Xenopus tropicalis: one gene and its partner. The protein of the gene in region 1 binds, or shares a complex with, the protein of each later gene. Links are inferred from orthologs where the notes say so. Each region holds a gene or a part of one and is shown in the gene's direction. Other genes may lie near its edges.

Region 1 (4,972 bases):
CACGCAACCATAGTGTGATAAATGTGTCACAGCCTGGTAATTAACTTGTTATGTGCGTCACACTTCTCTTCTAAACTGATCAGACAAGACAGATCAGATGTCATGCACATTCCCCAGCCACATCCTCACCTCTGTTTCCAATCAATATTCTGCATTACTAGCCAGGTCAGATCACTAAGATGTGTGTGTTTTAGAAAAACCGAGCATGTGTGTCATGAGTGCATATATAACATCAATAAGGATAAAACACCAGTGCCCCCGGAAGTGTGTATGAAATAAATAGATTAATTTATTGCACATCTTAATATAATAGCAAAAATCTGCCAATAGGCTGGGAAGAATTCAGGATACTAAGTGCTTGGTCAGATTAGGCTAAGAAAGAAGCAGCAAAAAAAAAGCTTCTTGAAGGGAACAAAATGAACCATTTCGAACATCTGTTGACTATCATAAAAATATTGGTTATATCAGATCTGGGTAAGTCCATAATAAAAGTCTTGGACTAGGGGCGCTGCTGCCAAGAGGCGTGTTGAGATACTCAGAAGGTAGCTCCCCGCATCGGCTCGTTGAACTGTAGACTTTTGTGCATATGCCAATTGAGGAGAGGGGGAGGTCGAGGATGAGAGAGCCTGGGACTCTAAACCTATTTTTACAAACCAAATCTATGGATTTTTTTTACATGGGACTGGATTTTTGAATACCCTTAAGCCAGCTGCCAAAGCCCACTGAAACAAGCCCACGCACACATACAGGCCACAGACATGTGCATGCTCATTTGAACCTATCCACTCCCAATCCTGCTCTCAGTCGCTAGCTCCTACTGGCAGCACTGGGCACCCAGTGCAGACGTGGAAGCATAGTGTGCCACCCTAGGCCCAGGCCTTTCCACAAATCTATGCCTGCTTCTACAGCTGTATTATTTAAGCCATGATTATAGAGCTATTACTAAGCACAAATACCACAGGTTGAGGCTGGTTGTTTGACATACAATTACAAGCTTCCCTAAACATTATAACTGTTTCCAGTGCTTAGCAAACGAAAACAAGCTGAATACAGCTCCAATTAGGATTCTAAGTTATTGTCATATTCACACTACAGCAATGTACCATAGCAATCAATGATACAGAGCTGTCAAGTCAACCCCATCCAACTTTCCTGGACGTTAACAGATTTTGGACCTCTTTCCCCAATCTATTTTTACCCAAATAATTATACTTTAGGGTTCACACCTAGCTGTTAAAAGCTTTGTAAAGCCTGCTGTATTTGGCTATAGGTTACTGCTCACATACTACTTTGCTCATTGACAGTATAAATAAAACTGAGTGACATAAAGCAACACTGGGCAAATCTACACCTGCTGGGCACTGACCCTTAGCAACATATGCTTGCTTTAATTGAATTGCCCGCAGTCAGCCGGGAAGAAATCTATTCACTGATTGGCTGGAATGCTTTCCGCACTAAGTATAGTTGGATATGTGTAATACGCAAGTGGACCGATCTTTTGCAGTTTATAAATGCCTTTAGAGGGAGCTGAAAACTTCATTCATTAATTTGAGCGTCCCGCTTGCGTGCATAATTTCCTACTTCCTTTCCAGAGGAATTAACCCCGCCCTTTTTTGACCCAGTACCCTAGCCGAGTTCCCCCCCCTTGTCGCCAAATCACGTGATCTTGACATCACAGCAGGCCCTTCACTCTCACAGCGTTAGAATATGGTTAAGAGCGATGGTTGCGCCGAGTGCGTCCCCGCCGCCCGGAATATGTGGGCGCGCACTGGAACGCGCACGCAAGGTACGGATCATGGGAAACCTTCCTTCATGTATCACCGGACGTTGCTTCCATTGCTCAATCTTGGTAAATAATTCAAATGTCTCAGCATCCTTTTCAGCTTTGATTGCAGTGCAGAGGGTGGGCTGGATCCGCACGGTGTTGAAGACTGCGTTGAAGCCGAATGATTTACTCGTTCGGGGTTGAAATAGAGAAAGGGGCGCGATGATAAACCAGGCCAGTCGGCAGAAATACAAAATTACACGTACTTTTCTCCTGTCTCTCTGTGTGTGCTGTGTATTATCAGTCAGCTCGTCTAACATCCCGCTCCAGCGTCGCGTCTATTGCCATTCACTTCGTGACCCAATTCTAATTAATATCCAGGTTCTAATCTGCTCCTGTCACTTCTAATGCGCTCTTCTATCATACCCGTTGTTGTAAAGTGCTAAAGGGATTTGACTACATCATAACTCGATCATTCCTTTTCCTGTAGCATTATATATCTTTATTGTCTCCCTCATTGCAACATCATTTTTGTGTGTAGCCCCCATCACATACATAGTGGCTTGTGCTGCTTATCTTGTTCATCAGCATACCTTATTATGGGTACACAATGTGCATGTTAGGGGGAGGGGGGTATTCCAATGTAGTCTGTATCTGCTTTCCTTAGGTTGTTAAAAAAAAAAAAATGACAGTGTTACGGCCACCCCTGATAAAATGGCTCATTACTTGGTCTACTGGCAGTTTCATATGCCTCGGGCAAGAAGAAGATGCTCTTTCTGGTGCCCATGGGGTGAAACTAGAATAACTGAGGCAGAGATGTGTTTTTGTTAATTGCTAGAGGGATGTGAGTCCCTTAGAAGCAATTCAGATAAAAAAAAGGGGTTGTTTGACGATGCAAAGAAATCTGCTTGGTTAGGTATTTAAACCTTTGGAAAATGTTTTGTGTGTATATATAGGTGTTGTTTTTTAAACTAGAAAAAGCATGATCCCACCATAAGCCAAAGGCTGTCAGAGGTCCTATTTGTTGTTTAAATACAGCTTCTGGGCTATAGGATGATTGCCTTGAGCCCAAAATACCTGAGCAGACTATTCAGTTGCCATGGGGGGGGGGGGAGGGAGGAGGGAGGGCGCAGTGATGATGCTTGAAACTATTGAAATATAGGCTATACCATCAAGTTTAAGGGTGAAGAGACACAGAGCTACTAGTAGCAGCTACTTGTCGTGGCTACTAAAGTAGACAATGCTGACCATTTACTGATAATTGTATCTACATGTGTTTTAAGGTCCCCATACACGGGCCGACTATAGCTGCCGATATCGGTCCCTTGGACCGATTCGGCAGCTAATCGGCCCGTGTATGGGCAGAACAGAGCAGCCTGCCCGACCGATATCTGGCCTGAAATTGGCCAGATCTCGATCGGGCAGGTTAGAAAATCCAGTCGGATCCGGGACCGCATCGGCTCGTTGATGCGGTCCCCGAACCGACTGCCCCATAACCACAAATGTATTTTTTTTTTAAGTTTCTTGCTACCCGATATCGCCCACCCGTAGGTGGGGATATCGGGTGAAGATCCGCTCGCTTGGCGACATCGCCAAGCGAGCGGATCTTATAGTGTATGGGCACCTTTAGGCACTTCTCAGCATTGTCTATGGCAGGGTATCTTCTGGTGTTTAGTAGCCATGAAAAAGTAGCTGCTAAAAGTAGCTCCCTGTGTCTTCACCCTAAGCACCCAAACGAAGACCATTGTACTTAAAGGCACTGATACAATCTGCCATCACCATCGCCCATAAAAAAAAAAAAAAAAAAAACAGATAAGATAAAATCTTTGAGAATAGCAACATACTAAGGCTAATGCAGGCAACTTCATGCAACATCAGAAAATGAAGAGGCACCTACGCTTTTCCACAGGCAAATTACTTTGTTGCCGGTGGAAAGGAGAGAGAAGTCGCCTGCTGTAGCAGAAATTTATCGTGGGAGACTAATCTCCCCATGAGACATTACCCTTAGCCCTCAAATGCAAAGTGCCTATTTTGTCCATCATCCATAAATAAGGCCCATTGTGTTTCAAGCTTGTAGAAGTATTGATTTGATGGAACAGGTGTTAACTTGCTCTTGGCTCTTCTATAAATTTGTTTGTAAATGTCTGTATCTCTATTAACTAATTATTTTGTTTTAAACTATGAAATCCTGGGCAAAATTATCAATGAAAATGATCATTTTAAAACATGAAAAAGTATTTTTTAATTGTGCAAGATGAATTACATTTCTATTTTCTCTTTTTAGGAAATATTTGCAGCTGTTCCTGGTGTCCACAGGGAATTCTGAAGCAAGTGCTGGATCATGCTTCCCCAACTCCAAGTGCTTAAGCCTTTTATTAGACTTTCTTCTGAATAAGCCATTTCACTACTGTACCAAATTAAAAAAAAAAAAAAAAAAAAATGGCGAGTGGTGGAGGTGGTGGTAATTGCAAGCCAAATTCAAACTGGAGCAAACCTCAAGAAAAACTCCCAGTGCATGTAAGTATAGAAAGCAACCAGTTTGTTCCTATTGATCATAGATGTGTGTGCATTGTTACCTTATTGATACCTCAAGACATGATATTGTGCGTCCTTCTTTTAGGCTAGTGCCACACAGGGTGGTTTCTCGGCCTGAGAATCCACCCCTACACTCCAAAAAAGCTTTTGGTTGTTCCTTCACCCAGAGCCATTATGTTGGAGTTCAGTGCAATAATGCCCCCTTGTGCAGTTTTGCGCCAAATTCTGCTGTGTGCCTGTACCTGGGCTGGTGCAATGGCTCCTGGTGTAGGCACATTCAAAAGCTTTTTTTGGGCGTAGGTGCGTTTATCTGCATGCCAAGAATCTGCCCATGTAGCATTAGCCTTAGGTGTCTCTTTTACCCCAAAGTCATGCGTTCATTCATTCTAAACACTTGATATTCTCCTCTTTAAAGAACAATATACCCACTTGTCAACATAAGTGCAACAAATAGGACTTGTGCTGAGTATACTTACTGAATATACTGTTGTTGAAATCTAAAAAAAAAAACTATGCTTTACATTATTTTTGTTAGCTAAACAGGGAAACCAAAGCTACCTCATGTTTAGTTAGTTGCATGTTAGATAATTTGAATACCAGTGCACAAATGAGCCAAAGTCCATTATGCAGGCAAAATATTTGTAAGATTTCCTGTAATCTAATTATTTAACT
Region 2 (4,863 bases), on another chromosome or scaffold:
AAAGCAATCAATAACCAATACAAGAGGTATTAAATGCTGCAAAATTATTAATGCCTACCCTAAACCTCCCTCACCAAAGATTGGATCCTTAAATAACAAGGAAAACTGGATTCACTTGGGGGTGCCAGTATGTTAGGCACCCACACTGAATCCAATTGCTTTGTTTTTTATCCCCTGGGCCATTGATCCTTTTAGGGAAAGGGGAAAGGTAAGAAAACAGTACTATTTTCTTACCTTTCCCAGTCATCCCTAGCACTGACACCATGAAATATGCATTTTGACCTACTGCACATACACAAGTCTATGCAACATATGTCTGAAATGGGGTAAGATGTTGGTGTCCTGAGCTGGTAATTTTTTTTCCCAAAACCATAAGAAAATAAAACCTTATTAAAAAAATTAATTAATGGGGGGGGGGGGCTAACACTGTAGAACCTTACACACAAGCCCTGCTCTAGATGCTGGATTTGCTATTCAGAGATCCTATAGCAACAGGCATGCCTGCTACTCAACGCCCAGCGATGATACAGGATTTTTAGTAAAATTGTCTGTCATTCTGATGTTTGTGTTATAGCCACCCATGATGCTTTTCACTCACGATTCATATTATGTAATATACGTGTGCAATATTGTACCTGTTTTCGGGATTTTAGCAGTTACTCAGATTTTTTTATTACGACGTAAAAGGAACGAACTACAACTACCACCATGCCATCACATTCGAACAATAGTCGAAAAACACGTTTTTACATTTCCTGTATCAATATCTGCTCTACACAGTTACACAAACTCTTCCTCTCCCACATAAATTCTGTACCGGAAGTGCCACCGCAGACTTCCGGAGCGCACAACTCAATGATTTGCGCGAACAATGTCTTTTTTTTCAACCAACTTTATTGAGAGGACATAAACATGCCACAAACGCGAGATTTTTTTTCATTCGTAAGACATAAGCAAGGGTTGGACGGAAATGAAATAGTGGCTGCCGATAACGTAAAGAATCATGTTGTAGCGGTGGTTCGACACTCCACTCTAGTGTAATGTAGCAGCAGCAGCAGCAGCCATGCTCTAGATTGTGTCGCCGGACTGCTCTGACGCATATTAAGCGCCGAAGGAATCCTCCTGCTCGTTTCATTCAAGACAATTTTGGGCGCGCAGCTAACAAAGAGAATGGATGTGCCGGCTGTCATGGTTGTGACAGCATACAAAGAAAACTCTGTTTAAACAGCAGAAATAAACAAACTAAACAAGAATAACGCACGTAACATGTTTATGTAAAAAGATGTGTGACGGCCAAACATTTTATTTTTATTTTACGAAATCTTTCTCTGCCACCTCCAATATGGCGCCCGTGTGCTCGCGTACGCCATGTTGCTTTAGGCACCAGAATGAGCGACAGAGCTCATGCTCAGAAGCGCACCAAAACAGTCCATTGTTTTCCTCCGTGGAACGAAAACGCGCTGCGCATACATTGTGACGGCACCGTCCCTCCTCCCTCACAGTCTAGTGACTGGCTAGCCCGTCCCCCCTCCCTCACAACCTAGCGAGTGCTGACCCCGCCCCCTCCATCACAGCCTAGCGAGTGGCTGGCCCCGCCACCCGATTAGCGCATGCGCAGACTGCTGTCTCCCGCGCAGTCACTTTGCGCCAAGTGCGCGGCCGCCGCTGGGGGAGGGGGAAGACGCACGTAAGCAGCTACGGAAGGGAGCCCTACCTCCATAGCGACATACCGACCTCCCGCCTCTTCCTTCACAGCTGGGTTGGAGCGCTTTTTTCCCCATTACGAATTGGGCCGCCATGGCCGGAGCTTTCTCGCTTCCTTTTACCCACTGTACCCTGGAGATGAGAGACCGGCGGCAGGTCGGCTAGGCCCTTCGTAGGCCTCGCCACATCCCCGGGAGCAGGGATTGACCGCTTCTTTTTATTTCTCGCCATTGCCTTCCAACGAGGAGCCCCTGAGGGTGCAGGAGCGGCCCTCCCGCCCGCAGCATTCTCCTGCCTCTCTCCCTGGATTAATAGCACCGTTACTCGGCCTGTCCCACCCCTGCTTTGGGCTCCACGGCTTCTCCCCGGGCCCCGCCGCCAGCACAGGCCTTGTCTCACTCCTGCTTTGGCCTCTGCTCCCCGGCTCTGCTACTTCCATCTCTGTCTCTGATCAATAAGCATCTGGCTTCGCCACTCGGGGCTCCCGCCAGTCCCCTATCAACATGGAGACCAAAACCATCGTGTACGATCTGGACACCTCTGGGGGTCTAATGGAGGTAAGGGGGGGCTTGGGAAACCTAATCATTTCATTTCTAATTCCTGAGTGACAGCTAAAGTTTGATAAGCAGCCCCAGCTGCTGCTCAGCCACAACCCTTATCTTATGCCTTCTCATTATTACATGTGTGGATCAGTACCTCCCAGTTAGCCTTGTCTGAACCACCACTGGGGAACCTCCTTACAGGCCTTGTATGTATGTATCTTTTTATACATACATACATCCCCACAAGGGGATCCCCACCAAACCACTGTTTTGCTTTTGCACAATGGAGAGGAATGTGAATATAAGCAACTTTCCCATGTTCGGTAATTAAAAAGTTTCACTGGTTAATCCTATTGTGAGTGGAATTGCTACTGGAAGCTTTATCTGCCTTGCGGTTTGTGCTTCCTGCTCGATTCTGACTCCTGTAACAATGTAGCAGAAACCCTGCCGGCTTGTAGGCCTGGAGACCTGGCCTGTTGTTTCAAGAGTCAGAATGCAGAGATGTAACTTTTTAGCTGCAATTACATTGACAAAAACCCTGAATGTTTTTAATTGCTTTGTATTGTAGAGTTGCTTAGAACAATATCATTCATTATGCAAAAAAGTTTTTGGGAGGAAATCCTCTTTGAACTCCCCAGTAATGGCGGTGGGTGTCATTTGTCCAGGGCATGCTGTGTGCATTCATATTTAAATGTGCTGGAATGTAGAGCTGGGCGGTATGACCAAAAATTTATATCACAGTATTTTTGAAAATGATATCAGTGTCACAGTATTTGACAGTATTTTTTTTTTCCATGCATGATTAGGTGTTAACCCCATTTCCTAATAAATTAGAGAATAATTACTGCAGTATTGAAAATCAGAGTCAGGCAAGCGAAGGATCGGCAACAGAAAGTCGTAAGGTAAATCAGGCAGGCTTAGTTTCCCACATAGCACAGGAGGAGGCGTTTGATAGCTTTAAATACCCCCACGCATGCGCAGAACCGGCGCCGTCAGTGAGTCGCGGACGTGCACGCTTTGACATGTATGTGCGCTTTGACACACGCGCACCTGGACGCGCGTGCGCAACGTCCCGCGGACAACGGGACGCACGCAAGACCGGGCAGCACGGGTGAGTACCCTGACACCCCGGTATTGTGGTATCTGAAAAATTATTATAGTTTTTAAAAAAAACACCGGTATTCGGTATTAAACGGTATATCGCCCAGCCCTACTGGAATGTTTCTTTTTTTGTTTTGTTTTGCATGCTTCTAGGTTACTGGACTCTGAGCAGCTCTGTAGCGCTTATACATAAAGTTCAATAAGTTGTTTTAGCAGGTATGACACTAGCGGCCTTGCTCTTGACTCAATATCTATTGCTTTCTACCTATAAGGAAGCATTACATATTTAAACCTGGTGCCGTTCTATGCTCATTTGTATATTATTTTTAACATTTACTAAGGAACATTCTGATTCGCCCTTGGAATGCCCTAGACTCCAGACACTTTATGTATTTGATTTTAGTTCCATTCATTTATTTTTTTTTTTTTTCAGGCCCACAGCAATGACATTAAAAGAAATATAAAGACAGTTTGCGTAAGGGTGATATGGCAGATATTAACATTACTTTGCACTACATCTAATAAATAACAGGCGCTGAAATGTAGACGTATTAGGTGTTTGTGCAATCTGTGTTGATGAAGTACAAATCCTATCATCAGTATTTTTCTGGGTGGATAAAGTGAAAAGAATTGTTCTGTCTTGTAGGAAAAGTTTGCATTTAATGTCTGCAGTGTAGTTATTTATAAATATGTGGGTTGTAGCCTTTTTGTCACCAATTCCATTCAGACCTATTGCAGCTACCGTAGTTTAAAAGTAAGAAATCATTTACATTTGCAACCCCAACATCTGAGTCTAGTGAAGTGGTTTATTTGTACCTCCTTGGAGAGAGATATGGACTTATTTTAATGTGTTAGCTGGCTCGGTTGGCCCAAAGAAATTGCTTTATGTGACTACTTCCTACACACATAATCAAATTGCTTGGTGTGCAAGAACATGTCACCTTTTATAGGGTAAAGGTGGCCATACACGGGCCGACTATAGCTGCCGATATCGGTCCCTTGGACCGATTCGGCAGCTAATCGGCCCGTGTATGGGCAGGGCAGAGCGGCCTGGCCGACCGATATCTGGCCTGAAATTGGCCAGATCTCGATCGGCCAGGTTAGAAAATCCGGTCGGATCGGGGACCGCATCGGCTCGTTGATGCGGTCCCCGATCCGACTGCCCCATTGCCGCCCACATAATCCGATCGTTTGGCCCCAGGGCCAAACGATCGGATTATTTTTTTTTTACCTAAATGCTCCCCGATATCGCCCACCCGTAGGTGGGGATATCGGGGGAAGATCCGCTCGCTTGGCGACATCGCCAAGCGAGCGGATCTGCTGGTGTATGGCCACCTTAAGGATCTGATAAGCTGGTTTAGCTGATAAAGAATCACAGCACAATTTAGCATCTGGTACGTTGGTGCTTTTTGTCTTTCTTTCTTGATGTAATTTAAAAGTCAGTGTAGATCAGGTCAGTTAGATGTTCTACTTGCCATGCTGTGTGGGCCTTACCTTACTGTGTGGCCCAACTTTC

Evidence for each region. Proteins that work in one complex are often made in the same cells at the same time.
Region 2: the proteins of sin3b (region 1) and phf12 are in contact, whole or in part, in a cryo-EM structure (PDB 8BPA), measured with the Homo sapiens proteins. The link is inferred for Xenopus tropicalis from reciprocal best matches to the Homo sapiens genes SIN3B and PHF12. Residues at the interface, in NP_056075.1 of Homo sapiens: Glu307, Phe311, Leu318, Glu322, Val323, Tyr324, Glu325, Asn326, Leu328, Arg329, Cys330, Ile331, Leu333, Phe334, Asn335, Glu343, Leu347, Pro350, Phe351, Lys354, Phe365, Lys395, Arg396, Glu490, Glu493, Leu494, Val497, Tyr545, Arg546, Ile547; in NP_001028733.1 of Homo sapiens: Leu20, Met21, Gln23, Ile24, Gln25, Leu27, Leu28, Pro30, Pro31, Lys32, Thr33, Asn264, Leu266, Val267, Leu269, Val271, Val273, Phe275, Thr276, Asn278, Arg279, Ser280, Arg282, Cys292, Pro293, Leu294, Pro316, Asn317, His318, Ile319.

The regions. Positions count from the first base shown.
Region 1 is NC_030677.2:111,954,402-111,959,373, forward strand, and holds the start of sin3b (paired amphipathic helix protein Sin3b), read left to right. Parts: upstream 1-1,776; 5' UTR 1,777-1,849; intron 1,850-1,862; exon of another isoform or gene 1,863-1,999; intron 2,000-4,049; 5' UTR 4,050-4,204; coding exon 4,205-4,282; intron 4,283-4,972.
Region 2 is NC_030678.2:33,929,828-33,934,690, forward strand, and holds the start of phf12 (PHD finger protein 12), read left to right. Parts: upstream 1-1,680; 5' UTR 1,681-2,207; coding exon 2,208-2,261; intron 2,262-4,863.